Mus musculus: one gene and its partners. The protein of the gene in region 7 interacts with the protein of the main gene of each other region in a pairwise test. Links are inferred from orthologs where the notes say so. Each region holds a gene or a part of one and is shown on either strand. Other genes may lie near its edges.

Region 1 (4,300 bases), on a different chromosome or scaffold from region 7:
TTTCTAAAGTTGGAATTTTCTAAGGTTGCAATGTGGAAATATCTGGCTGGTGAGTACCAACCCCACAAGTAAGGACCCCTCAGGATTGAACACACCTTTGATCTGGCTTCTTGTGACATAGCTCCCCTGCTGGTGATCTACTGGATTTTCCTCAGGAAAGAGCCTGTTCTTGAGCAGATCTGTGGGTGGCTCCTGCCACCTACAGGCTGCTGTTGCTCATCATTGGGACCAGTCAGAGCTGGGACTACTCAGTAGGCAGTCCCTTGATGGGGTCAAGTCATCAGCCAAACACAGCATGGCTGAAGGTCCTGTGGTTCTCTTACTGCCTGTCTTGTGGTAGGGTCCTGAAAGCATTAATTCAGTACTCAAACACAGGGTTCCCTTTCCCAGAATTTTTGTTGTTGTTGTTGGGTTTAGCTTAGAGCAAGGGCCCAGCTCTCAGTAAAGGGCAGAATGAGAGGTGGTATGAAACTAGAGAGCTGGGTTCAGCCATCACTGCACCTCTGGAAAAGCTTTGTTGCCTTCAAGAAGTTCCATGCCTTTTTCTTATGGTAAAGATGTCATAACTGATTAAAACGGTCAGCTTAGGTCATTTGTGTATGTCATTTGCACTCTGGCCTCCTGGGTACAAAAAAATTCAGATTGACTTTTAGTACCAGCACACCTGCCACCATGTATAGGACAGAAGAAGAGCAGAGCACCATTCTCCCTTTCCTGGACGTGGTTAGGGTCTTCCTGAGGTAATGCCTCAGTAGCGGATTGCCTCAGTACCCTGCCCTGTTCTCAGTGTAAAATATGAATCGGAGGCTCCTGATCGCAGCCTCTGTCATTGTCACTTCACAGGTTGGGAGACTGAGACGTACAACAATGTGCAGAACTTGGGGTTTATACCGTTAGGTTGACTTCAGAACCTGAATAGTTCTCCCCACTCCCACCCCCCACCCCCGAGACAGGGTTTCTCTGTGTAACCCTGAATGTATTGGAACTAGCTCTGTAGACCAGGCTGACCTTGAACTCACAGGGATCTGCTTGACTCTCTATCTCTCGAGTGCAGGGATTAAAAAGGCATGAGCCTACATTGCTTGGCTAAAGCCTGAATTCTTGCGGAGAAACCGTTTCAGAGTCCCGGCCACCTGCGCAGCGCCAAGAAAGCCCCCAAACTCGGCTTGGTACCAAGTGAAGTGTGTGGAGTGAGCTGAGTGACTCTCGGAAGTGGAGGCGATCTAAGTGCACTAGTGAAGGCGCGACCGGCCGCCAGGGCAAGCTGCTCAGATGGGTTGAATTAAAGACCTGAGCGCAGTAGGGTTGTCCTTCTCCCTCCTCTAGGTCCTCCCTCCCCCTGGCATTCGGTGGGCACGTGGGGCCGTGGTCCGGCGGAGATACCTGCGGAACTACCTTTTCCAGCGGGCAATCAGGCCGCAGGCCGCAGGCCGCGCAGTCGTCTGGGAGTTGTGGTCCCGGGGGCGGGGACTCTTTTTTTTTTTTTTTTTTTTTAATTCTGTCGCACGCGGCCGCCAGGCGGAGGTTTGGACCGCGGATCTAGGCGGCGGCGGCGGCCGAGGTCAGGCCGGGCGGCGCAACCGGCACAACCCGCCGCCACCGAGGTAGTGATGGGCAAGGAGGAAGAGATTGCTCGTATCGCCCGGAGGCTGGACAAAATGGTGACCAGGAAGAACGCGGTGAGGGGCGCGGGCCGCCAGGACCCTGGGGCCCCGCTCCGCGGAGACCGTCTGAGCCTACCCTCGGGCAGAGTGATACCTAGCCCAGTCAGTCGAGACCCCTTGCCCAGGCCCGCCCTCCACCCTGTCCTGGGACTGCCGCTTCGCAATGGACGCCGCGTTGACCGAAAGCTACCCTCTGTTCGTCGCCCAGCGGTGGCCGCGGGCGTCCCTGGCCCAGCCGTTGTCTCCCCTGTCTGCCCCCCACCCTTCAGCACCAGGTTTCTCTTAATAAATTTTTCCCCTGCTTAGTCAGGCCTCAGGCAACAGCAAGTCGGTTTGGGCAGACAGTTGAGCCTGTGGCGTTGAGACCCCTGGCCAGTGTGGGCTTGGCAGTCCAGCCTGCCTTCCGACCATGGTCACCTGCGTAGCCTTTGAGGAGCATCCTTAGGGGATGATGGCACCTGCAATCTTGCCTTCCGTGGGTGGGAAGGGACTTAGGAGGTGGCTTTAAGACTGAGTGACTCTAGAGCATCCGCAGCACCGCTCTGAGGGCAGCCCAGATAGTGGCTGAGTCATGAGTCTGTACAGCCTCCCCAGGACTGTGCTTGAAGTAGAAGGCTGCAGGACAGCTTTTGGGGATGAGCAGGATTGCTCTAGGGGTTGGAGGGCTGGGGTCTAAAACAGGAAGTAGGTTAAGTGCCCACATAAGCCTTTACACTGGAAACAGAACCCACTTTGCAATCATCTGGGCTACAGAGGCCCTGCTGGAGCTTCTTTCCGGTAAGAGAAAGCACAAATGACAAACTTGGAACTAAGGGTGGCAGAGATAGGATGGGAATCCAAAGGGAGACCCAGTAAGGATGGAAGGCCACAGATAGGACTGTACAGTTGAGAAGGGAACCTGCAGAGGTTCCAGTAGTCCTTGAGAGAGGCTCCTTGGAACAGCTGATGGTTTATCTGGGTTTTCATTATGGGAGTGCAGGGCTATTGTGGATGCATGCCCCTGGCTCCAAGGATCAGGTCTTCTTAGCAAAGTCAGCCACCTCAGGGCTGATTGGTGTACAGCTTACTAACTTAGGGCCATGAAACAAGGCTGCAGCCTGAGCAGATAAGTCACACAGATTGAAGGGTCAGCCCCAGCCCCTACCACGGCTGGATGGGTTGGTTTTCTCTGCCTCTTTGTGGCATATAAAGACAAATGAGCTCATAGTGGAAACTTGGAGGACAGCAAACACAATAGTGTTGGGTGTTAGAAGAAAAGGCTGTCTCAGTTGTAGGAAGGAGGTGTTTGAATATAACCTGGAAGTGGTAAAGAGAAGAGCAGCCTTAAGCAGAGTGAGGTTTAAGGTAGGAACCAGAGGAGCCTGCCTACCCTTGAGGTTCAAAGAACAGAGCTTAGGCAGAGGAAGAAAATCAGGGTTTTCTGTTACAGTACCTAGGAGGAGGGTGGTGACCAGTCTGGAAAAGAGATAAAAAGTGAGACTATGGGATTTGTAGGTGCTGGCTTTAAGAAAAACTTCCCTTTGTATATTTAATTTTATTTATTTTACATTTGTTATCTCGGTGAGTGTGTAAGTATGAGGACAACCCCTGGAAATTGGTTATCTCCTCCCACCATTTGGGCTCTGGAGATTGAACTTAGGTTGTACAGCTTGTTGGCACCTTTATCTGCTGAGTCAACTCACCTGCCCACCCCTTTGATAGTGGGTATTGAACCCAGGGCCTTAACTTACCAAGTGAGAGCTTTATCACAGCTGTGTCTACACAGCCCTCTCTTTACTTTGTTTTAAGACAAGGTCTCATTAAGATGCCCATGCTAATCTTGAATTCACTCTGAAACTCAGGTAAGCTTTGAACTTTTGATCCTCTTGCCCCAGCCTCCTAAGTATCTCTGAGATGATAAGGCCTGTGTCACCAGGTTTGGTAGTTTTCAATTAGCAATAATTGTGCCTCTGATAAACCTTGTTGGCTATGGTGCTGTTACTTTGCAAATCTGTGGCTGGAGTAGAGATTCCTGAGAGTTTAGGTAGAGGCTTTTAAGGTAGGAACAGGAAGAGCCTGCCTACTCTGGAGGTGCAGCCTGCCTGTAGATGCTGGGGAAAAGCCAGGGCAGAGGAAGGCAGCCAGGGTTGTCTGTTACAGTACCCAGGAGTAGTGCTGCCCTGATGGGTAGGCGCTTTGAGGAGAGGCTGCTCTCCCACCACAGCACAGATGGACCAAGGTTAAAGAACCCGTGCTATACCCGTGAATGTCCTTCCGTGTTGAGCAGGAGTTGGGGCATTTATTTTCTCTAGTAGTTTGTTCAGTGTCCTCCTGTGGTTAGTTACCATGATGTCTGGAGATCACCGTAGATGCAGGATGAGAAACCCCCTGATCTTTGAGGAGAGCACTGTTGAGCTGTTTGCCTCTATTCCTGCCCTATGGCAGGAGCAGTAAAAAGCCCCTGTTGTGATGTAGGAACAGGTATGGAGTGCTCTGGGAATCTCAGGGTAGAGGAGTGGCTTCTTTCTGACATGTAAGTTGCCCCCTGGTGATGACAAAGAGGTAGGATTGTCCACTATGCCCCCTGACAAGTGTTTTCTGTGTAATCCTGGCCATTCTGGAACTCCTGGCCTCACTCTGTAGGCCAGGCTGGCCTT
Region 2 (3,991 bases), on a different chromosome or scaffold from region 7:
CAAGGGAAATCTGCTGTTCACATTGCTCCCTCGGACCACACATTTGCCAGCGAGTCCCAACCAAATCATACTTAGCGCTGTCCTGGTCTGCCTGCTCCCGCCTTCTGCCTCACAGCATATTGAAGCTGTTCTTACAAACTGGAATGATGTTGTGGAACAAGTTTACCAACGTCTTTTACAGGGGCTCTGCCCTCACGGATCAATCATCTGTGGATGGTCCCAGACCCTTAGTTCCACCATCATGGCCTGACCCTGAGGTCCACCATCATGGTGGTTTAATGCCAAAACGTGCAGTTTGGAGGCATATATTCAGACCATAGCAACCCTAGAGGAGGGTAAACCCAGTCTTAGCTTGACCCGACAGAACCTGAGAGTCACTTTTCTGACATTTTACCCAAACTGGGTTAAAATTACATGAATCTAGTACATCTTTTCAGCTAGAAGTCTGCAGAAGAACTTTTAAATACAGTTAAGTGTTAAAAGCTTTAACTGGAACTTAGTAGGACACCATTTATTGACTGCATTCTGGTGGCAGGTGTTCCACACACTTCATTTCACCTCGCCTTCAAAGTAGCCCAGCTTTCCAGAACTTGGGCTCATGGGAGGAATGCGCTCAACATCACAGGGCTGAAAGCAGAAGATCCAGTCACTTGCCCTTTGGCAAGGTGGGGGGGGGGATCTCACAAAAGTTGGGGGGGGGGAGACAAATGGCCAATAAATGAAATCTTCGAGGGGCTATTTGAAAACAGTGCAGACAAAATTCATATTTTGATTTCTAAAAAAAAAAAAAAAAGCTGTAATTTACACATTAGAGGAAAACCAGAATTGCTTGTTGCTGTTCTAAAGTTCACAAAGGTAACTGTGAAAGCATCCCTTGGGCTTGCTAAGGCTCAGACCAGTGTGCTTCAGGGACCGTTTCCTTTCCACACCTTACATGCACAGAAGGCTTAGTGAGGTTGGTGAGCTGCTTAGCCAGGTAAGGGCACTTGTCTCAAAGCCTACATTCGATCCCTGGGACTCAGATGGTGTAAAGAAAGAACCAACGCCTACAAGCTGTCCTGAGCTGCCCACACACCAGTCATGGCTTCTACATGTCCATCCTCACAGACACACATAGAACAAACATAAAAATAGAGACGTGACTCCAAAGGACAAGCAAAATCCCCCTTCCTCAACACTACACTTTGCCCCTCTCTCCCACTAAACTCTTTAAGTTGGAGCCCTTGGCCTGGAGCTTCCACAATCCACTAATGGAAACACTGATGCTGTCACGATTCTATACACCACCCTTGTTTCCTAGACTTCCAGCCAGCTCATCAAAGGCCAGGTGCACTGAGGCCTTTAAAGACCAGATGGCACCAGGATGCATTGTGAAGTGGCAGGAGCGTCACAGGCCACATGGATCACAGGATCTGAGCGTGGGCTGGGTGTCTGCAGTGGCCCCCTGAAGGTCCGTCGACCTTCTGTAGACTCTGGGCCAGCCGGGAAGGGAGCATGGCCGGTTTCCATCTCTTCTCCCCACGGTCCTATGGGGAGCTCGGGGAACCCTTGCTAGCTGGAGAGCAGGAGTTCGCAGCCCAGCTGGGCTGGTCTGAGTTGTCTCTGAGTCCCTGGGCCCAGACTCCTGGCGCCGAGATCGAGACCGAGGTGCCCTGGGTGCACCCAAAGTGTTCGCCCACTGGGCGGTCCCGCCGGCGTGGGTATATGACCTTGCCACGAGAAAGCCACAGCCTGACATACGTGGCCCGAAGACCCTCGGACCGAGCCAGGAAGCACAGGTCCGGCAGCCTCTGCCTGGAAGGAGCCTGCGGGGAGGCACCAACCAAGTCCAGCAGAACCTGGCAGCAGCAGCAGCCGCCACGGGATCAACCCAGCCCGCGCTACCCTGCAGCCCGGGGAGATTCATCCCTGCAGTACATCCGGGAAGCTTTCAGTCCCCCGAATGCTGGAACGTTGCTTGTAGAAAACACACACCCTGGAGACCGGTGGGCAGTGCCGGTGGGCAGACGTGTAGGTCTCTGGTCTCCTTCCTCGGTTCTCACCGACAAGTCCTCTGTTCACTCCCTAGAGTTATGTAAGCAATCCACCCAGAATAGGAGTAACCGCGACCTGACTGAGTCCTTAAACAAGTATGACTGTCCCTCTGCCTCCTGCAAAGAGAAGAGTAGCCAGCACGCTCAGGTCCTCAAGAGCAAGCTGGACGAGACGGTTATATCTTTGAGGGACCAGAAGATCTTGGCCCTGGTGCTGAGCAGGCTCAAGAAGGCCCAGAGGATGCGAGAGCTGCAGCAACAGGCTGCAGTCGCCTGGGAAGAGCTGAAGCGCTCAGACCAGAAAGTTCACTTGACCCTCGAGAGAGAGCGCAAGCTGCTGCTGCTGCAGAGCCAGGAGCAATGGCAAGGACAGAGGGAACAGCACAAGCCTCAGAGGGGCCATGGCCATGAGCAGCCTCACCAGGGTTACAAGCAGCAGGGACCGCGGCGCGACCGCCAGGCAAGGAGCGCTGTTCGGTCAGAGAACGAGAGTGAGTGGATGGTTCAAGCTGACAACCCGGAGATCCGAGGCCTGGCCAAGATGGACAAGGTGCAAGCGCAGGCCGAGCATCTCAAACAGTGCCAAGTGCAGAGTCTGCGGGAGCAGGAGAGGGTGCTGCAGAGTGTTCGGGACCTGAACAGGCTGCAGCTGCAGAAGAGGCTGGAGATAGCGGGTCACAAGAGGGAGCATGTGATGATGGAGAGCCCGAAGAAGCTCCAGGAGAGCAACCTGAGCACGGTTGTCAACTTCCAGGCCCGCAAGGTTCTCATGGACTGCCAGGCCAAGGCGGAGGAACTCCTCAGGAAGCTGTCGCTGGAGCAGAGTTCCCAGAGCTCCCAGAGCTACCAGGACATCCAAAAGGGTCTGGTGAAGGAGCAGAGGCACAGAGAGCAGCAGGCAAAGGCCCAGACTGAGGCAGAGCAGTTCCAGAGAAGGAGATGGCATGCCGAGGAGGCAGAGGAGCTGCTCCAAGTGAGCAAGCGGGTGCTGGCAGAGCTGGCTGAACAGAAGAGCAGGCAGGCCAGGAGTCATGCGCACAAGACCACCAGGGACAGGGCGCAGCACCTGCAGGAGCTGAACATCCTGCGCGAGAGGAACCATCATATCTTGAAGCTGACAGCGGAGAAGGAGGAGAAGTGTCACATCAAGGGCATCAAGGAAGCCATCAAGAAGAAGGAACAAAGGTTAGCGCAGATGACCTCAGGGAAAGATCCCATCTTCCAGGAGTATCAGAAGGGTCCCGCGTCCTCCAAGATAAACCGCTGCTTTGACCAGGTGGCAGCAGAGCCCCAGCTGTCCGTGCACCTGCAGAGTGGAGTCTACTGAGAACCCAGGAGGAAGAAGGCACAGCCTGGCAGCCAGACAGAGACACCATCATGCAATTCCGCTTTATAATCCGATTTTAATCGAGCATTGATTTTTAAAAATGTATATAAAATAGCTGCATTTTCCTCCCATGAATTAGCTCATTGATTCTCTTGGATGGTGTGGGGGGGAGACTTGGGGGCAAGTACAAAATCTGTTTGACTTTGTGGGATTTCAGTGTCTCTCAAGGAATCTAGAAGCACACATCAGGCCAGAGTTAGAGGAGCCAGAGAAGAACGTGCAGTTAGAAATACGGTTTTATGATGGGACTTGGTAATTCTTTTTTCTATTCTACAACCTGAGAGAGGAGAAATATGGAGTGTGAAGCTGGAGCAGTTTCCCAGGGGAAGAAGCAAAGGTGGGCTGGGAGAATCTCTCAGCAACTAGAATGGAGACTCTGGTAGTGTAATCCTTTCTCCAGAGCTCGTGGTGCAGTTTTAAACTTAAAAGCCTATAGTATAGACACTCCCTTAATGTAGCATTTGCCACAGACCTCCATCCTTTTTCTATCCGTGGAATGATGTTCTGTGATTAGATGCCTTTTCCTTCTTTTCCTTTCTTGTTTTGGTAAATGGCTGCATAGTTCCTCCCA
Region 3 (4,136 bases), on a different chromosome or scaffold from region 7:
ATCTAAATTAGACTGTAAACTGATGGCTCTCAAAGCATACCATCTTCTGTGGATAATAGATGCTTGGTTTGAATATACACCATATTGTTTAAACAAGTATACAAATACTTGTTTAAAAATCCCACAGCCAAATTAACTTCAGTAAAGATTTATATTAAGCCAGTTACAACAGAATTCAAGATCCTCTAAACTTCTGTTTGAACGAGGGGGTTGTTTTTAAGTAAAAACTTAAAACTATCCTGCAACTGCTTTAAGAAACACCCATAACAGAAACGCCTGGTGTTAACTCTGGATAATGCAGAAAAAATTCCGACTCCAGACATAATTGGTAATATATGAGTTAATACGATATGAGAGCTCAGACTTCAATTAAGATTAGACTATTATGGCTGCAAAGTCAGGTCAGAGCCAAGGCGAAAACCCACACAAGTTTTTCTTTCTTTCCCATTCCTAATAAGGCGGCAGATAATACCTGAGCCTTGAGGTAAAGATTAGGAGCGGCATTTGGGGGAACTCCACCGAGGGGGCAGTGTTGACAATTTTCTCTTCTCATGACCTTTAACCTAGATGATAATTCTGCCAACTGGGGCAACTCCAAGGTCGGTAAGGTAGGGTCGGCCACCAGGCGCTGACAGCATTGACCTTTGCCCTAGTTTAGCCTAAGACAATAGACAAGGAAAGAGATGCTGGCAGTACCCCGGGTGTGGCCCCAGTCTTGTTTTGTCCCAACTTATCCACCTTGCTCCTTCTGTCCCCACCAGGAGTTTCGTCTCACCAGGGCAGGACAGCTTGGTTAGTCGCACCAACATGTTCAAAGTGACCCGGAGACTTGACCAGATACAAAGGAGAGAGGCGTGGGTCTGCGGCTTGCCGAGGGTGCTGGACTTCTAGGCTACGAGGGGCGCCATCACCTGCCAAGAAGCCCCGACTGCTCAGCTTCTGTCAGCGTCTGGGCTCTGCCGACCGCCCTTGCTTCGCGGCGTACCCGCCCCTCTTCTGCTTTGCGCCGGCGCCACAGAGGACACGAAGGCCAGTAAGGTTTCCGGGTCACATACAAGCCAGGAAAAGGCAGAAGACTCCATCTCCCAGTCATCCTCAGCCAGGAACCTAGTGTGCAGAAGAGGCCGACAAGCTCTCGCGTGTGCGCATGCGCCCTAGAAGCATAGCGAGGCTGATTTGCTAGGCATTCTGGGAGTTGTAGTGTTTAGCTCCTGGAGCTGTGCGCAGGAGCCTGGTGACGCCTGGCTTGATATCTGATTGGCTGTCTGGAAAAAATGAGACGTACTTGGGGTCCAGGGCAGAGACAAACGAGAAGATGGGGCGGGACTCCGTGTGGGAGGAGGCGGAGCCTATGGGCTTTGGGCGCGAGCGGTCGAAAGGCAGTTGGTGAGGGTTCGGTTGCTTGATCCGGTCCAGTAGCCCCAGCTCACTCCCATGGCTGACTCTGAGGAGTTTCGGGCTTCTTCGCCGCCGCCGCCGCCTCCCTCATCTCCGTCGTCAGGCGCCTCTTCGTCGTCCCTCAGCATGCCAGTGAGTTTGGGCTGGCGGGATCCGAGCAGGAGTCCCGGTCCAACCGTGGACCCGCTGGAGCAAGTGGAGCTGCAGATCGGAGACGTGAGTGTCGCCGTTGCGGCTGAGAGCTGATTGCAGCTAGGGTGCTCCTGCCTGCGGTTCTTGGAGTTGAGGGCTAGCCTCGGCTCTCTCTTCCCGCATCTTTCTTTCCTTCTCCTTCTGCTAGCGGTCATCCGCAGCCCCGCTGCCAGGATCCTCTCTCCGCCTCCTCCCATCCCTCGGAGCACTTTGGGCGGTCATAGCTTGCCTCCTTGCCCATTGGTGCTTTCTAAGGGACTCGAGCTTGTGCTTCTAGTTGGCCACCAGCCCAGGGCCAGCTGGTGATGCTGTTGTGTGTCGCTTACTTGGCTCTGTGTTGGACTTGAGTGGACCAGGGCTAATCACAGCCGGCAGATGGATTTGATAGGACAGTTTAGAACAGAATCTTGCAATGCAAAAATTCTGTAAAGTTTTTGTTCAATCTCGAATTCCCAGAAATAACTTCCTGACCCCAACACGTATAACGCTGAGGGGTTGGAGGGTCACAGCGGCACTTTATTTATTTATTATTAGGTATTTTCCTCATTTACATTTCCAATGCTATCCCAAAAGTCCCCCATACCCTCTCCCACTCCCCTACCCACCCACTCCCACTTTTTGGCCCTGGCGTTCCCCTGTACTGAGGCATATAGAGTTTGCCAGTCCAATGGGCCGTTCTTTCCATTGAAGGCCGACTAGGCCATCTTTTGATACATATGCAGCTAGAGTCAAGAGCTCCGGGGTACTGGTTAGTTCATAATGTTGTTCCACCTATAGGGTTGCAGATCTCTTTAGCTCCTTGGGTACTTTCTCAAGCTCCTCCATTGGGGGCCCTGTGATCCATCCAATAGCTGACTGTGAGCATCCACTTATGTGTTTACAGTGGCACTTTATAAGGACTCTTTGAGAGGGAGAAAGGACTGAAGTATGTAGCAGACAATCTTCCTGGAGAGGGTTGTGGAATAACCACACAAAAGATTTGGAAACTAGAACTGGCTGACAGGTTTTTATTCTTTTGTCAAAAGAGATGGCTGAAGTATTAGTCCAGGTCCCTCCCCCCAAACAATACAGGTTACAAATAAATGTGAACAATAAATGCTGACATGATATAAAAAAAGTGTTATTTTATATTTTTTGGTGAAGAAAGCATTTGATTTAAAAGTGAGTTTTTCATAGCTGTGTGTGATTTTAGATGTTCTGTCAGCTCAGCTTAGAGTATAAGTTCTTTGATTTTATTATTTATTTACTTATTTATAGCTCAAAAATAAGTGTTCATGGGTGAAAATAGTGGAACAGGGCTTTTCTTACTTCGTTACCAGGCAAAGTGAGGAAGTCCTTTGGATGGCTCTGCCACTTTTAGTCAAGAGGTTTCCAGGTTGCCTTGGGGAAATATATGAGAGTTGGATGTGTTTTCTGTTAAAAATACTGACTTGTCATATTCAGTGAGTATTTTTATGGCAGGTATTCTTCCTTAAAGTTACGTTATGAAAAAATTTAGAGGCTCTGAGTGCAGCTTGGGTAGAGCTGTGTGCCTCCCCTGTTCTGAGACTTCGGCTTCAAGAAAGAACCAGTGTTTTTTTTTTTTTTTTTTTTTTTGAAAATTCATTTCTTTTAAAGAAAAACATGTGGGCATTTGATTGAAGGTTTTAAGCTATATTTAGACTATGAAGTTAGATGAGGATTTTTTTTTTTAAAAAGCGTGTGTGGGGTTCAGGGTGTAGCTCAGTGCTGGAGGTCCTGGGTACCAGTACCACAAACAAACCCGCTTGACTTTTCTTTCTTTCATTAAATTGTAGGCGGCGTTTTCATTAACTAAACTTCTGGAAGCCACGTCTGCGGTATCAGCTCAAGTGGAAGAACTTGCCCTGAAATGTACAGAAAATGCACGCTTCCTTAAGACGTGGCGCGACCTCCTGAAAGAAGGCTATGATTCCCTGAAACCCGACAACTGACTTGCCGATGTAGTCGCGTAAAGCCTTGCACAGGACCTATTTGCACGTAGAGCACATGGACGCGGCTGCCTGTCTCCAGGCATTTAGACTGAGAATGGGACTTTTCTTGGTATTCTCGACTTGGTGAAAGCAGAATACTGGGCTCTTTTATTTGCTTGTGTGTTTTCTCTGATATGGCAGTATTTTACCTTAGATGCTTTCTGCCCTCTAAGCTTTTGTCGACTCCTTTATGAGAGCTCATTCCATCCGTAAGTAATGTCGCAATAGTGCCTCCCTGCACCCAGGTCATCATTTGTTTTGTGAGAAGATGACAAGAATGCTTGAGTTGGGAGTTGAGCGCGGTGTGTCTCCTAAGGCGGGCGATGAGGATTTCGGGTGCGTGGTCCAGCTCCACAGGACACCTATTGGAAAACTGGCGGTGGCCCTTACTTACTTCCTTATCCCAGTGCCCACAGCCAGGTCACAACACTCACTGTCTGTGAATGAGACTCGATGAGTTAATTAAAGCTACTTTTGACTCCTGTCTTTTAGGATGAAGACTGTTTCTCTAAGAAAACTGTATGAATCTAAGCTTCATTGACTTGAAGGAAAAAT
Region 4 (3,519 bases), on a different chromosome or scaffold from region 7:
CCACATCCTCATGCTTGCGGGCAAGCACCCTACCTGACCAAGCAGACAATAATATCTTTCCAAACAAATCCAGCTCCCTAAGACATTTAAAAAGCAAAACAAAACCCAAAACACAAGGTCTCACTATCTAGACCAGGCTGGCCTTGAACTCAAGAGACCATCCCGTCTCTGCCCACAGAGCTGGGGTTAAGGAGGCACCGCCACCCAGCCTCTTTAAGGCAATCTCAGCTGAATTCTTGTTACCTTAGCAGCTTGTTTTTGTACCAATCACTACCATTTCTGTCCATAAGCAGTTGTTTAGAATTACTCAAGCGTGCATCTGTTAACTTGGTTCCCATCAAATTTCTTCCCTTTGAGCTGTATGTTTCTGAAGTACAAACTAACTTTTTTTTTCAAACAATGGTCCTTTGTAAATTCTTTTGTTTTATCTTTTTTCTTCCTTACTTCAACTCTAGCCCATCCTCCTGCCTCAAACTCCCATAGAGCTAGGACTACAAATGAGAGCCAGCTACATCTGGCATTGATTCTGGCTTTCAATCGATTTTTAAAGTTCTTCAAGGGGCCGCCTCTCCGTGTCCGTCCAGTCCCTCTATCCCCTCCACCTCCCGCAAAACCTGAGATACTGAACTTAAGCCTTCCATCTGCTAGGCAAGTATCCTACCCTGACCCTCGGTAACATTCCCAGACCATACTTCTTTCTATCCTACCAAGGGGCTCTACCTGTAAAATCTGACTTCGCGTGTTGTCAGTTCCGAATGTTCTCCATCTCATGGTTAACCACTTCTGATATAGCCCCCCCATTCAGCGATTCTCTCCTGCTTTATCTAAACCACCTATTAACCAACCTCACTCTGGAAATCTATGCTTTCTATGGTTGTTCCAGAATTCTTTGAAAGCCTGGGTGGGGGGTCTGGAGCAATGGTTCGACAATTAAGAGCCCTTGCTATTATTTCAGAGGACCTAAGCTTGATTCCCAGCAGTGCGATTAACTCCAGCCTAAGGAAATCCGATGCTATGTTCTGCATCCGCGGGCATACACTTACAGACACATTAAAAATTTTAAAACTCTGGGTGTTCCATCCTCTCCCCGCTCCACCTTCCTTCTCGAATGCTAAACTCGATGAAGGTGCGGTGAACTACTCCGCAGCGTCGAGAGACTGGATGGAGGCGACAAATGCCTGGCTTCTGAGTCTGTGGCGCCAAAGAGAGGAGCTTGCCATCGTGACGTCACAGAACTGTGACGCGCCCTGGAGCTCCGCCTCCTTACGACCTGCGCCGGGAATCCGGGCTGTCTGCGCCGTGGCGTCACAGGTCCAGGCAGGCGGGTTTTCCGTCGGCCCAATGGGAGCGGCGCGCCGGCCTCCCCTTTAAGGAATGTTGTGACCTGACGTCACCCAGGCGAGTTACCTCCCGCAGCCGCCACCGCCAGGCTCAGCGCGAGCCCCGCAGCCCTTGAGCTCGAGCCCCGGAGCCCCCGGCGCGCCGAACCGCAGACGCATCTCTGAGCCGCGCACCCCGGAGCCCCGGCTGCGCGCCCCGCCGGGCCCGCGCGATGCCCTCCGACCGGCCTTTCAAGCAGCGGCGCAGCTTCGGTGAGGCCCTGGGGGGCGAACTGCCATCGGGGATCGAGGGATGGGGGTGCCAGTCGACCCCGATTGCCGCAGGTGACGTCAGCCCCATGACGTCAGGCACCGGCCGGCCGGACCCCGGGTGGAGAGGCCGCAAGGCCTGGCAGGGTCGCCCGCCTCCCTACCGCGTCCCCCCGGTGGAGGGCTGCGGGGCCGACGGCCCCGGGGGCGGGCGCTGGGGCGGGGCGGGCCGGGAGCCGCCCCTCGGGGATCAGCGAGGCGGAGTCGCGGGAGGCCTCAGCACCGCTGGGCCTCACACAGAGCTCTGTCCGCAGCCGACCGCTGTAAGGAGGTGCAGCAGATCCGCGACCAGCACCCCAGTAAGATCCCGGTGAGTCTCTAGCACCCCCCAGCCACGCCCTGCCCTGCCAGGTCCCGCCCTTGGCTTACGAGTCCCCCGCCCACTCCACTCCAGGTGATCATCGAGCGCTACAAGGGTGAGAAGCAGCTGCCTGTCCTGGATAAGACCAAGTTTCTGGTCCCAGACCATGTTAACATGAGCGAGTTGGTCAAGATCATCCGGTGCGTGGGCAGCCTCCTACAGGCCTTGGGTGGGGCAGGGTCAGGTTCCACAAGAAGGGATGGAGTGGGGCGAGGGGACTGATTTGGGACACCGGGCCCCTGTTCTAGGAGGCTGGAAAAGACCAAGGTCGGGGTTGGGACGAGCTTCAGTAGAGGTGAGAGCCTCTGGCTGAGATGGACCGAAAGTGAAGGTTCAGTAACATTTTGGGAGGGTCACCTAGGCCTCCAGCAGGCAGCCTCCTCACCTGGCATGCCTGCCTGCCTCCACAGGCGCCGCCTGCAACTCAACCCCACGCAGGCCTTCTTCCTGCTGGTCAACCAGCACAGCATGGTGAGCGTCTCCACACCCATCGCTGACATCTATGAACAGGAGAAGGATGAAGACGGATTCCTCTACATGGTCTACGCCTCCCAAGAAACCTTCGGCTTCTGAGTCAAGAGGAGGGGAGGGGGGTGGCTGGGAGTTCTGGTCAGGTTCTCCCCAGGGAGGTCCTGGCTCCTAAACTAAGCTATTTCAGTCCCCAGTGGATTAGGCAGAGATGTGACACCCACTCCCCCCCCCAGGTAGGGGCCACCAGCCAGCCTACCACATCCTGGGTAGGTCCTGGGCCAGTCATGTTCGGGTTGCTCTTTTGGGTGCTGGCTGGGTTGGGAGTGGGTGGGGAGCAGCATCCCTGCTCTGTGGGGTTTGTCATTTTGTTAGGCCCTTGCCTGTCTGCCCATCTTGCCCCTCATCCACCTGAGGCTTTGCCTCCTGCCAGGACCTGCCCCACCCCTGAAAGGCTGGCTCCCCTTGTCCTGACTCGGTGTATGGATCTGTGGTCATTTCCTCTGCAGAAAGAATAAAGACTGCTCAGGCCTGCCTGGCCCTTTGCCTCCAGCTGCTTGTTTGGGAGCAGGGAGGGCTGCTAGGTGACTGTGTTCACACACAGAGACAGACGCGTGTTCCCAGAAACCCACTCCTTAGTACAGGATAGCACGTAGTATTAGGGGGCCAAGCTCACTCCACTCCAGGAATACATGTCATCAGAACAACAATGAAAAAAAAAAGATCCACACATTTATTAAGTAGTCACAACCTATAAAGCCCTGCTCACCGGCTGCTTCCTTTCTGTGCACAGTCACAAAGTGGGGGTCCAAGTGGGGTGCTCCTAGCTTCTCCCCATGGGCCTTGTTGCCAGCTATGAGTCCCCTTTGGTGCCAGAGATTTGTGACCCTGGACTTGAACTTCTTCTGCCTGAGGACGCGCCTGCTGGCAACTCTGGATGAGGGACCTGGCCCAGCTTCTGGCCCTTCCCCCTCTTGTCCATGCAGCGCTGTGCCAGCCAGGGCTACTTGAGCACAAGCATGGCCTCAGTGCCGTCCTTGG
Region 5 (4,146 bases), on a different chromosome or scaffold from region 7:
CACTCAGTCGTTTCCTGTTATTCCTCATGTTTTACAGGTAAAACCCACAACACTGGTCCTCAAACAAGAATTAAGTATATACATCAGCTTGCTAAACTAAAACTGACCCTGAAGAGATTTCAGTATGTCCTTGGAATGGTCGGGAGTGGGGGGCTTTCAGGAAGGTCTATATTGGTGCTATATTAAGTAGCATATCCTTTTGATGGCTTAATTGCTTTCAGTGATGGAACATGGAGGAAACGAGCTCCGGGAGTCTGACAGTAACACTACAATGCTAGACTGGTGAGCGACTGACCGCCTTACCTCAAAGCGGGAAAAAAATCAACTCCTCAACAAGTTTTAGCAAGTTCCTCACATACTTTGTGTGCAGTCCCATTTCCCCAGAATCAAGGAAGCACATAAACACGTTCTGCCAAATCAAAGAAACCCAAGTGACTAGGCTTGCCAACTGAGGAAGTCAAATCCGGAGCTAATCTATTCTTTTCCTCCTAAGAGCTACTTTGAGTCCTAGATGACGTCAGACCAGATTCCACCCAGACCAATTAGGTCCAAGAGTCCAATGGCAGGTGACGCCCTAGAAAGAAATTTCTGAGAGGATGAAGTTTCCACTGATAGTTTCAGGGCTCTTTCCTCAGGACTTCGCCTGTGGATAGAGGGGTAATCCTGGGGCTGGGGAACATACACGTGTCTCTATGGGAACCTAATGCGAAGCCAAGCAGAACAAAGCGCAAACGATCACGGTAGTTCAAAGACTTGGGGTTCTAAAGGAAGGACACGAGGTACGGCGAGGTGGGAAGGCTGATTTTGGCAAGAAAGGTCAGAAATCGTGGAAGCGGCTCTTATGTTTCACCCAAAGGCTCTCCAGTGGAAATGGAGAAACATCCCATGTCTCTCGTTGCAGTGTAGGCTGCTCTCCCGCCACACCCCTCCTCTTCTGAAAAACTGAGATCCGTGGTGCCTCCCATCCCCAGAAAAGACCTGAACTTCATCCCCGCGCGCCATCCCGTGCCTTTTGCCCAGGACTCAGCAGAGCCTGTCCTTCCCCTCTGCACCCGCACCTCTGGCTCTCACCGTCCGCGGGGACGCCTCTCCGAGTCTCAGTCAAGTAGCAAGCGGACTCGGTGCCACCTCTGGCCTGCGGCTGCCTGCAATCTCGGCTGTGAGCTCACATCCTGCGCCCGCCGACTCCGGAGTTACAGCCCAACCCTACAGATCGGGAAAGAGACTACAAGACCCGGCATGCACAGCGCGCGAGCTAGCAGTGGGTCGAAAACTTGACGTTTGACTTCCTTCTACTTCCGGGTTCGGGAACAAATCTACTTCCCGTGTCGTAGTCCCCGCCCCCTGAGCAAAGGCTTCTGGGCCTAGTGGGCAGTTATCGCGTGTTGCATCTATTTCCCAGCAAGCACCGCAGGGTGGGCGGATGCTGGTGCTTCTGGACTCGGGGGTGACGTGTGGCTCCTAGATCTTGTCTCCGTGGCAGCAGCCGGTTGCAGTTGCCGGAGAGAAGCTTCTACCGACAGTCGTCAGGGCCGCAGAGCGCTGCCGAGGCGGCTCGTCAGGTAGGTCGGGGACGTGGAGGACTTGGGACGGGAGGAGGCCGACGTGACCCAGCGCCGAGGATTGGCTGGACCGGGTGGAAAGCGGCGGTTTCCCTACCTCGGAGTTTTTAGGGATCGGGTTTACACTCAGCTCAGCCTGGCTCCCTCGATGTCACCGGTGAACCGAGGTTCGGACATTGCAGGAGTATAATTTAGTAAAGACAGCCGCGCCATTTGCCCAGTTCTTCCTGTGTCTACGCCTTCTCCAAACTCCACAGCTACAACTATTTGTTGTGCCTGCGGACCTGGGAGAGCCAGGGAGCGTAGAGCCAGGCACAGCCTTCATGCTTAGGAAACTCAATCCCACGTTCCTGGAGCATATTTGTGGTGGGAGTTAGGGGTGGGCTGGGGATCTGATAGCCCGCTATGTACCATATCTATCTTACCCATCTCTTTAAACTGTCCTTTCCAGCCATACTCTCGGTCCAATCCAGATCCATGGCAATCGTGTTTGGCTCCTTTCTTCACTTTTCTCCAAAGTGCTGCATTAAGCATTACTAAATTCTGTCAATTCAGACATCATCTGATCTCTGAACTCCCGTTCGGCTTCAAATCTTTTCTTCTGTTACAGCCTTCTGTTTCCACATGAATTCATTCATTCTGCAAACATTATCAGAGTGCCACTTACCTGCAGGCAGCCTGCTTAGAGATGCTTGGCTCACAGTGAGAAATTTGGAAAGGACGCCTCTATTCTGCTCTTCCCTGTTCCCTCTGTTTGGCCAAGGCAGTGAGTGATCTTTCCAACTCTGATCAATAAGCACTGCCGAAATCCACTGCTAGCGGTTATCATTATAAAAAATAATCCAAGTTCAGCTGGGTGTGGTGGCGCATGCCTTTAATCCCAGCACTTGGGAGGCAGAGGCAGGTGGATTTCTGAGTTCGAGGCCAGCCTGGTCTACAAAAGTGAGTTCCAGGACAGCCAGGGCTACACAGAGAAACCCTGTCTCGACAAACAAAACAAAACCCAAGTTCATTTACTCATCCAGCTATAGCCGGTTGCCAGCCTTGCTCCCTCTTGCTGTTTTGATCCCAGGACCCTTTGTGTCAAAATCTTCCAGCCTTAGGACGCCCCCATATGCTTTTCCCTATGCCCACAATGTCCCTCTCCCTTCTCTTAGAAGATTTTCTGGACGTGTTTAGGTCCCAGATTGTTTTTTCTGAAGGCTTTTGTTGACCTCTCTGCCTACTTGAGTTATGTCCTCCTGTAGAATCCTGACAGAGCACTGAGCGCTGTTCCTCATACCCTGATCACAGTTTGTGTTTATTTGCTTACTGTCTGTCTAGAGACACTATGTTCACTCTGTCCTTGGAGCTGGGATTCAATAAGGGTTTTTGTTTTTGATAAATGCATGTTAACTCAGAAGGCAGTAGGAGTTCAAACAAGTGTTTGCAGTCTCATGTCATATGAACTCTTCCATAGGACCTGGTCCAGTTAGTCCCTAGGAGCTCTTAAATACTCAAACTATCCAACTAGAACAACACAGGAAGGCAATTGTTTTTTTGTTTTTTGTTTTTTTGAGACAAGGGCTTGTGTAGCACAGGATAGCCTGGAACTCAGTATGCAGCCCAGGTTGGTCCTAAACGTGTGTCAGTCTTCTAGCAACACAGTGAGTTGCTAGAATTAGAGTCACGCATGACCATAGCTAGCTTTTAACTCTCATTTTAAAATTCATCCTTTTTGTTTTGTTTTGTTTTTCATTTCAGGGCATGCATTTGAAAAGCCTTTTTGGGACCTTAAACAGGGATTTATGACTATGCTTTTATCTCGCTCGCAGCTTAGGCCAGATACACCCAAGTGAACTGAAATTGTCTTTTCTCCTTGCTTAGTGATATTTCTGTAAAAATCACTTGATGCAATATAATCCTTCAGGTTCACGTGTCTGTTTTCCTCCAGCTAAGCTGTGCTGCTCCAGGGCAGGCACCATGTTGCATTCATCTTTACGCCCAGCATCTAGCAGTGTCGGCATGTAGTAGGCACTCAAGAAATGTATGTTGAATGAACGATGTCTGTGACAAGCAACTGGACTTTCCTCTTTCCTGACCCTTGCTCCTATGACATACCTCCTGATTGCCACTGTCACCCCTTCAAAGCAGACCTCTAGGGCTTCCTGGAAGGGAAACAGGTGAGGCTGAGAGCTGGAGGCAGAGGGATGGGTGTATGAGGAGGGCTGGGGTGGTGTCTGGGATGAAATTCAGGTCGCTGCTGGTTTCTCTGCAGCTATGGCCAAGGACATCTTGGGCGAGGCAGGGCTGCATTTTGATGAACTGAACAAGCTCCGAGTGTTGGACCCAGAGGTCACCCAGCAGACTGTGGAGCTCAAGGAGGAGTGCAAGGACTTTGTGGACAGTGAGTACCATCTGGAGACACAGTGTTGTTCTGCTTTGAGCAGTTTCCTTACCTGACCTTGGCCATTGTTCTTGGGTCTACCAGAATGAAGTTGCGTGCTCTCTGGATTGAGCCTGGTCTCTGGGTTCCCATGTGTACCCAACCTTCTCTGCTTGCCCTCTTACACTGCCATGGAGTCCCACATTTAGTGCCAAGCAA
Region 6 (3,320 bases), on a different chromosome or scaffold from region 7:
CAGTGTTGTTTCTGCTTCTTTGCTTTTGTGTATTTCCCATTTCTTATCTCTAAGATGAGATTTTCAAAACAAAGAATCTAATGTTAATATTCTTGTCAGATATTTTCTGTTCTCTGAGCCACTCTGTAAACATCACCGAAGATTTTGTGTCTTTTTCTTTGTTACAAAATGCAGAATCTTTAAAAGTGTTATGAAAAAACTTAATGTCGACATTGAAAGTCCCTTAAAATTCTAACACGGTTACTAATGCTGAATAACTTAGTGTGTGACTCTCAAAAAGTGTCCCTCATTATAAAAATTCAAAATAGCTTTCACTCAGCAATGAACACTTTTCTGCAAAGATTGAAATCTGAACCACATTACGTGCGTGTGTATGTGTATGTGTGTGTGTGTGTGTTAGTCATCACTGTAGCAGTGTCTGAGAAGGTCAAATTCTATAGGGAAAGAAAGCTACTGACTTCAGAAGTCTTTGTCCATGCTCTTAGATGGCCCCAGTCTTTGGCCTGGTGGTGCGTCAAACTATCGTGTTAGAAGCATAGAGGCACAGATGAGGGAGGATTAGTCTCTGGCTCAAACACCTAAAACCTCCATGATGCCCCACCCCTTAAAGTTTCTACCACTTGCTCATAGCACCAAGGCAGGAGCACTTTTTTTTTTTTTTTTTAACACAACGGCCTTTGAAAGGCAGTGAAGTTCTAAATTATAATGTTGTGCTTGTAACAAATGGCATTTCCCCCTCTGTGTAAGTGTGTACACAGGCGAGGGAGCATGTGTGTGATTGCGTGTATGTATGTGGAGGCCAGATGTTGGTATCTCACACAATTCTTGCTTACTCTTCACATTACTCAGTGTGAATCCAGAGCTTGCCCCTTTAGTTACTCCAGCCAGCCAGCTTGACCCAGGGATCTCCAGTTTCTGCCTTCCCAGCATGGGGACTGCACATCCAGTGGGCACTCACATGGAGTTTGGGGATCAGAACTCAGTCTTCACACTTTGACAGAGAGCGCTTTTGTGACTGCTTCTTCTCCTGGGTCTGTAAATGGTATTTTAGAGGAAAAATAAATAGGTCATCAGACACATCTTAGAAACACAGAACATCTCTTCAATTCTCTAATAAAATACCGTAGGGTGAATGACTTTTATAGCCCTTTATAGGTAATTTGTAGTTGTTTAAACTCAAGGAGTATTGGAAATGGGGACTGAAAAATGAGACTGGACAGCATGGGCAAATTTCAGGTATGTAAGGAAAAAGACAATGCTAGGCTGTCTGGTTTTCATCCCAGTCTCCTGTTCTTCTAGGTCATCGTGGAGAAGGCTCCTAAAGCCAGGGTCCCTGATCTGGATAAGAGGAAGTACCTTGTGCCCTCCGACCTCACTGGTAACCATCTTTCTCTCTTCTGACCTTTCATTCCAGGCAAAGCATTCTTGATCTTTAAGTCTAAGTTGGTGACTATATGGGTTGTCACTGCATGTAGGTGGTGACCTTGCATGGTTTCCTTCAGTGAGCTGGCCAGTACAGATAGGCATACTCTGCCCTCCTGTTTCTAGTTCTGTTTGATATTTCCCAATGCCATACTCATGTACCCTAGTCATGGAGACACAGGAAAGCAGTACTCTGGGAGTAAAGAACAAAAGTTTGTCATTTATACCACTTTAAAAATCAGCCATGCTATCCTGAGGTGGATCGATTTATATCAGCTCCAGCCGTGTCTTGGGTATTGTCACCAAGGAGGATCACATTTCAGAGATTTATATCCAAATACTTTATCTTTAAATGTGCTTCTGTCTGGGAGATGAAAACTGCAAAACCTAGCCTACTTTCTGTTTTGAATTATATGTATTTAGAGTTTACCTTGTTCTTAAAGAAGTACCAGGTGCCTTCAGGATGCCCTGGAAAGATTCTTTTAGATGCAGTGTTCACGCATTTGCCTGTCAGCCTCCCAGAGCTTCATTGTTTGCAGGAAGAAGTTGCGTGGGCTCATTGTCCCAACATTTGCCCCCATGGTACTGGGAGGGCCAGAGTGCAGTGGATCTCTTCCTATTGTTAGCTCTTAGAGTGCAAATGGGACCCCAAAGGAATCAGGAGTCCATTTAGATGGGAATGCTTGGATCTACATTGTACTCCCCCACAATAGTCGTGCTGGATAGATTTGCTAATATTGAGTCTGAAGATGGATGAGGAAGAAGGGAGGGGACAGTCCCAGTGTGGTGGGTCAGACACTGTACATGCCTCCTTTTCTATTTTCCCACTAAGGCTCTCGGACAGCTTTTGGGTCTGAAAAGCTTGTACTTACACAATAGATTTTATTTTGTTTTCTGAGGTTTCTCCTACTAATCCTTTTTCATTTCTCACCCTGCTCTCTGTTTCCTTCCTGTAGTTGGCCAGTTCTACTTCTTAATCCGGAAGAGGATCCACCTGAGACCTGAGGACGCCTTATTCTTCTTTGTCAACAACACCATCCCTCCCACCAGTGCTACCATGGGCCAGCTGTATGAGGTAATGGTCTTGATCACAATACCCAGCAGCCTGGTGTCCCTTCGCTCTGGTTCCAGGGTTTGTTAAACACCTGGGAAGTAGGGCAGGAGGTGTTATTTATGGGGATCCTCTTACACACAGCACTGTGACGCTGGGAGATTAGATACCCTTTGTCCTTTAGGGACTGAGCACCTACTCGATTTAATCTTTTGAAATCTCTCTCTAGTCTTTCCTGACTGTAGTACTTTATTGCCGGTTCCAGTGGTTCTTGGTAGCAAAGCATCACCATGCTCACCCTTCTGTTACTGTCTCTGGAAGCACAGTTTGTTAGTGAACTGTGCACTCCATTTCCTGCCTGTCAGCCATCCACATCTAGCAATAGATGGAGAAAAGAGACACCAGCAACCCTTGGCTCCTTTTCCGTCTGAACCTGGAGCCCTGTCTTCCCAGTTAGCTCCCACATAAACGGCCAAGATTCGGCTTAGGACAGGCACATCTGGAAGCTCTCTTTCTAGAGCAAACCGGAGGCCACGTAAGAGTTTCCATTATCTGAGTACAGGGAATGAGTTAAAGTGTCAAGTTAGGATCTGATTTGGGAAAAACTGTAGTGAGGACTTCATATACAAATAATGTGACCTAAGATTGTGACTGTACTACTCCTTGTACGATGTCACACATGATACTGCCTTCCCATTGTGCTCCAATAGTCAGATGCACATCTAGTAACCCCTGGTCTAGCCCTTATTATTCCATAGCATATATTCCCGTGAGTATGTATGCCAGTAGATGCTTTGTGGTTTCTGTGCTCTCCTTGCTAGAGTGAGGAGTTTTTTTTTTTCCTTTT
Region 7 (4,047 bases):
GATAAGATTTTAAATCCCTGGAATAGAATGGGGAATTTAAAGACTATGGTAAGGTATACAAAGATTGTAACTCTCTGAGTATCCAGTTATGGGAAAAAGCCTGAGGTTACTTATGATCAGGACTTTAAAAACTACTACGGGGGGCTGGTGAGATGGCTCAGTGGGTAAGAGCACCCGACTGCTCTTCCGAAGGTCCGGAGTTCAAATCCCAGCAACCACATGGTGGCTCACAACCATCCGTAATGAGATCTGACTCCCTCTTCTGGAGTGTCTGAAGACAGCTACAGTGTACTTACATATAATAAATAAATCTTAAAAAAAAAAAAAAAAACTACTACGTTAGCTGGCCATAGTAGTACATACCTTTGATCCCAGCACAGAGGAGGCAGAGAAAGACAGATCTCTGAGTTAAAGAGCAACCTGTTCAAAACACTAAAGGGCATTCCTGGACAGCCGGGACTACACAAAGAAAGGAGTAGGAGAAGAAAAAAAGAAATCAAATACTGCCTTGTTTGCAAGAAATCAGCATGCCAGCCTCTGCCTTTTTTTCTATGCTGAAATCCTTTTTTTGCAGAAGGCATATTAAAAACGGTTTCTCTTATTTGGACGTACAGAAAAAGTCCCAGAAAAACCAGAGATAAAAAGAGAAATCTTGTTTCATAAAACCAAAACTGGCCGGTCCTGGTGGCACAGGCCTTCAATCCGACCACTCAGGAGGCCGGTAGATCTCTATGAGTTCGAGTCTGGCTTGGTCTAAATAAGCAAGTCCAGAACAGGCAGAGCTCTGTTACACAGAGAAACGGTCTAGAAAAACCCAAACAAAACAAGTCAAATCCCTGCATCTCTTTCACCAGACTCTTTATTAGAGAGAGGGGATTATTTCTCACAATACCGAGTACCAGGCCAGCCTGGGCTACAGCGATACCTCAAAAATCTGAAAGTCACACATGGTGGCATACAATGGCGTACACGCCATTTCAGGATGACCAGGATTTTAAGGGTAACCTAGGCTCCATGGCGAGCTGGAATCCAGCCTGAGTACATATGACCTTGTCTTTTTGTTTACTTTTCGAGATAGGGTTTCCTTGTGTAACACTGGATTGATAAATAATACATTTAATTGCCCACTTCCGGATTGCTTAAAAGCCATGTTTGGGACACAGCGCGTGCGCGTATCTAGTGCTGCGATTGCTCATCCTTTTGGCGTTCACGTTAGGGCTTCTACAATTTGGTCCTCCCGCCTCCTCGCGGTGAGTACGCGCAGGCTCCTAGGCGCCAGGACAGGGGGCGCTCGTGGACGCTCTATGATGACGTAAGCGCTAGGGCGCCCTCCCGGAAGCGCGAGCCAGGCCGCCAGATGTGCAGGTGCCGAGGCTGGAGCCGCCGGGGCCGGGCAGGGCGGGAACTCGGGGCGTCAGGAGGCCACGGAGGGGAGGGAGGGCCCATCCTAGCTCGGGGACACAGCCTCAGTTTTCCCGGATTCGCAGCGATAGCGCGGGCCAATCTAGATGGAAACCCTAGTTGTGTGACCTGGAGCCCTGAGCGGCTTGGGGTGCGCGTGTACCTCAGTTTCCCCGCTCAAAGGGGCGGGGACCCCGTGTTTGTTTGAGTCACGCCTTATCTGGTTTGGTTCTTTTGTTGTTGTTGTTTCTCCTTCAGAGTTTGGCCGGAAGAGTTGAAGTCCGTTTAGAGGACTCGGGCCGGACGGCTCCTTGTGCTCCTACTGTGACCTTGAGGCTCAGAGCCATTCCAGTCAGCCTGACATTCCTGGGGGAGAGTTAGTGTTTCTTTAGATGATAGCTCAAATTAGCCTCCAGTTCCTGGTAATCATCCTGCCTCGGCCACCCAACTATAAAGAGAGTCATTAAAATTTTGAGATAGCAGCCCAGACTGGGGCCTCTGTCTCCTTGAAATGCATCTTCCTCAGTCTCTAAAGTACTGGGATGACAAGCGTGAGTTACCTCATCTGCTTGTGTTGAGTCTTGTTTTGGATTAGGGTCTCATTTGTTCCAGGCTAGTCTGTAACTCACAAAGCAAAAGTGACCTGAAACTTCTGCTCTTACTGTCTTCTCTAGCACTGTGCACGGGCAGGGCATTCACCACACCTGACTCTTATTTGTTTATTTCACGTATGTGCATACATAAACTGTCGCTGTCTTCAGACAAAGCAGAAGTGGGCACTGGATTCCCATTACAGATGGTTGTGAGCCACCATGTGATTGCTGGGAGTTGAACTCAGGACCTCTGGAAGAGCAGTCAGTGCTCTTGACCGTTGAGTCATCTCTCCAGCACGTATTTATTTAGACAGTCTTATGTGTCTCAATCTCGTCTCCCACTCATTATGTAGCGCAAATTAACTTTAAACTTACAACAGTCTTCTAGTCACCTGAGTGCCAGGATGGCAAACATGAGCTGTCACACCAGGCTTCTGTTTTAAAATAGGGTTTCATGCATCTTAGGGTGGCCCAAAACTCAGTATGTACAGCCCAAACTGACCTTAAGCCCTGAAGGACCCAGGGCTTCTGCATGCTTCCAGTTCAGTCCCAGACCAGGACTGATACCTGATCTAGAACAAAATCTCTGGAATTAAAATTCTGCATGAGAGATGCTAGCTGTTAACCTAGTTGTTGACTATGCCCTTTAATCACAAGTTACTTTTCTTCTACTTTTTTTTTTTTTTTTGGTTTTTGGAGACAGTTTCTCTGTGTAGCCCTGGCTGTCCTGGAACCCACTCTGTAGATCAGGCTAGCCTCGAACTCAAAAATCCACCTGCCTCTACCTCCCAAGTACTGGGATTAAAGGCTTGCGCCACCACTGCCTGGCTGTTTTTCTTCTTTCTTAAGATAATTTACAGTCTATTTTGGGAAATGGGGGCATGCACCTTCTCATGAAGGGGTTTTCTGCCAGGTGTGTTCCAGGGCTTGAACTGGAGTCCTCAGTATAGACAGCAAACATCTTTTAGGCACTGTCTTACAGGCCACCCACCTAAAATAGGGCCAGTGTGTGTTGCTCAGGTGGGCCTGGGACGCTCTATGAAGCTCTGGTTGGCCATGAAGGCTGGATCGTCCTGCATTCTCCCCTTGTACTAGGGTCTAAAACCCTGGTTTGTCCATGGTCATGCTTGATTACCGGGTGACTGGACTTGGTGTGGTTATTGGATGGAAAGAGTTGTGTCCTGCCCATAGCTAGTTTCTTTTTTCTTTCATCTTTTTTTTTTTTTTAAAGAAAGCATTTAATTGGGGTTGGCTTGCATTTCGGAGGTTTAGTCCTTTTTTTTTTTTTTTTAATGTACGTGAGTACACTGTAGCTGTACAGATGGTTGTGAACCTTCATTTGGTTGTTGGGAATTGAATTTTTTAGGACCTCTGCTTGCTCTGGTCAACCCTGCTCTTTCCCATTAGCCTTGTTCAATACGGTCAGCCCTGCTCCAATCGGCCCTGCTCGCTCAGTCTCTGCTTGCTCAAAGATTTATTATACATAAGTATACTATAGCTGACTTCAGACACACCAGAAGAGGGCGTCAGATCTCATTATGGATGGTTGTGAGTCACCATGAGGTTGCTGGGAATTGAACTCAGGACCTCTGGAAGAGCAGTCAGTGCTCCTAACCACTAAGCCATCTCTCCAGCCCCAGGACCCTGTCTTGAAGGGAGGGTGCACTTGATGTGTTAACTGAGCTGGTAACATGTTTAGGGACCCAGGTTCAGTCTGTAGAACCTAAACACAGAGCTGAGCTCAGTGGTGAGGTGGGGAGCAGGTACAGGCAGACCCTGGAAGCTGGTGGAAGAATGGACTGCAGAGATGCCACAGAGCACTTGCTGGACTGGAAGAGGATCTGAGTTTTGTGTCCTATCTGTGGCCACCTGTAGCTAGCCCGGGTGTCTTGACACCCTAGGCTCTGCATCAGGAAACTCAGTCTCTGTAGTCTGTCCTCTATCATGTGAGTACTATAGCCGTGTTCCATAAAAAAGACTGACCTGAAGCTAGGCAGGCACAGAGCTTAAGAGAAGGTGGAGTGACCGCCTTGCAGAACCTAGTGTGGACAAT

The links.
Region 1: the proteins of Kxd1 (region 7) and Tcea2 interact in binary tests that used the Homo sapiens proteins (3 or more experiments, as listed by UniProt). The two-hybrid records come from large-scale screens. The link is inferred for Mus musculus from reciprocal best matches to the Homo sapiens genes KXD1 and TCEA2.
Region 2: the proteins of Kxd1 (region 7) and Ccdc185 interact in a two-hybrid assay, tested with the Homo sapiens proteins (2 studies listed by BioGRID and IntAct). The two-hybrid records come from large-scale screens. The link is inferred for Mus musculus from reciprocal best matches to the Homo sapiens genes KXD1 and CCDC185.
Region 3: the proteins of Kxd1 (region 7) and 4930579G24Rik interact in binary tests that used the Homo sapiens proteins (3 or more experiments, as listed by UniProt). The two-hybrid records come from large-scale screens. The link is inferred for Mus musculus from reciprocal best matches to the Homo sapiens genes KXD1 and C4orf46.
Region 4: the proteins of Kxd1 (region 7) and Map1lc3a interact in binary tests that used the Homo sapiens proteins (3 or more experiments, as listed by UniProt). The two-hybrid records come from large-scale screens. The link is inferred for Mus musculus from reciprocal best matches to the Homo sapiens genes KXD1 and MAP1LC3A.
Region 5: the proteins of Kxd1 (region 7) and Ift20 interact in binary tests that used the Homo sapiens proteins (3 or more experiments, as listed by UniProt). The two-hybrid records come from large-scale screens. The link is inferred for Mus musculus from reciprocal best matches to the Homo sapiens genes KXD1 and IFT20.
Region 6: the proteins of Kxd1 (region 7) and Gabarapl1 interact in binary tests that used the Homo sapiens proteins (3 or more experiments, as listed by UniProt). The two-hybrid records come from large-scale screens. The link is inferred for Mus musculus from reciprocal best matches to the Homo sapiens genes KXD1 and GABARAPL1.

Annotation. Positions count from the first base shown.
Region 1 is NC_000068.7:181,678,797-181,683,096, forward strand, and holds the start of Tcea2 (transcription elongation factor A protein 2), read left to right. Parts: upstream 1-1,500; 5' UTR 1,501-1,610; coding exon 1,611-1,679; exon of another isoform or gene 1,680-2,441; intron 2,442-4,300. UniProt on the Homo sapiens protein: Necessary for efficient RNA polymerase II transcription elongation past template-encoded arresting sites.
Region 2 is NC_000067.6:182,746,626-182,750,616, reverse strand, and holds Ccdc185 (coiled-coil domain-containing protein 185), read left to right. Parts: upstream 1-1,436; 5' UTR 1,437-1,494; coding exon 1,495-3,360; 3' UTR 3,361-3,491; downstream 3,492-3,991.
Region 3 is NC_000069.6:79,627,743-79,631,878, forward strand, and holds the start of 4930579G24Rik (uncharacterized protein C4orf46 homolog), read left to right. Parts: upstream 1-1,336; 5' UTR 1,337-1,434; coding exon 1,435-1,614; intron 1,615-3,386; coding exon 3,387-3,542; 3' UTR 3,543-4,136. Other genes in the region: Etfdh (electron transfer flavoprotein-ubiquinone oxidoreductase, mitochondrial precursor), read right to left, coding at 776-809.
Region 4 is NC_000068.7:155,275,055-155,278,573, forward strand, and holds Map1lc3a (microtubule-associated proteins 1A/1B light chain 3A), read left to right. Parts: upstream 1-1,309; 5' UTR 1,310-1,552; coding exon 1,553-1,592; intron 1,593-1,903; coding exon 1,904-1,959; intron 1,960-2,043; coding exon 2,044-2,150; intron 2,151-2,420; coding exon 2,421-2,583; 3' UTR 2,584-3,019; downstream 3,020-3,519. Other genes in the region: Pigu (phosphatidylinositol glycan anchor biosynthesis class U protein precursor), read right to left, coding at 3,482-3,519. UniProt on the Homo sapiens protein: Ubiquitin-like modifier involved in formation of autophagosomal vacuoles (autophagosomes). While LC3s are involved in elongation of the phagophore membrane, the GABARAP/GATE-16 subfamily is essential for a later stage in autophagosome maturation.
Region 5 is NC_000077.6:78,535,015-78,539,160, forward strand, and holds the start of Ift20 (intraflagellar transport protein 20 homolog), read left to right. Parts: upstream 1-1,346; 5' UTR 1,347-1,562; intron 1,563-3,495; 5' UTR 3,496-3,724; intron 3,725-3,819; 5' UTR 3,820-3,821; coding exon 3,822-3,948; intron 3,949-4,146. UniProt on the Homo sapiens protein: Part of intraflagellar transport (IFT) particles involved in ciliary process assembly. May play a role in the trafficking of ciliary membrane proteins from the Golgi complex to the cilium.
Region 6 is NC_000072.6:129,536,192-129,539,511, forward strand, and holds part of Gabarapl1 (gamma-aminobutyric acid receptor-associated protein-like 1), read left to right. Parts: intron 1-1,299; coding exon 1,300-1,378; intron 1,379-2,378; coding exon 2,379-2,497; intron 2,498-3,320. UniProt on the Homo sapiens protein: Ubiquitin-like modifier that increases cell-surface expression of kappa-type opioid receptor through facilitating anterograde intracellular trafficking of the receptor. Involved in formation of autophagosomal vacuoles.
Region 7 is NC_000074.6:70,520,381-70,524,427, reverse strand, and holds the start of Kxd1 (kxDL motif-containing protein 1), read left to right. Parts: upstream 1-1,247; 5' UTR 1,248-1,365; intron 1,366-4,047.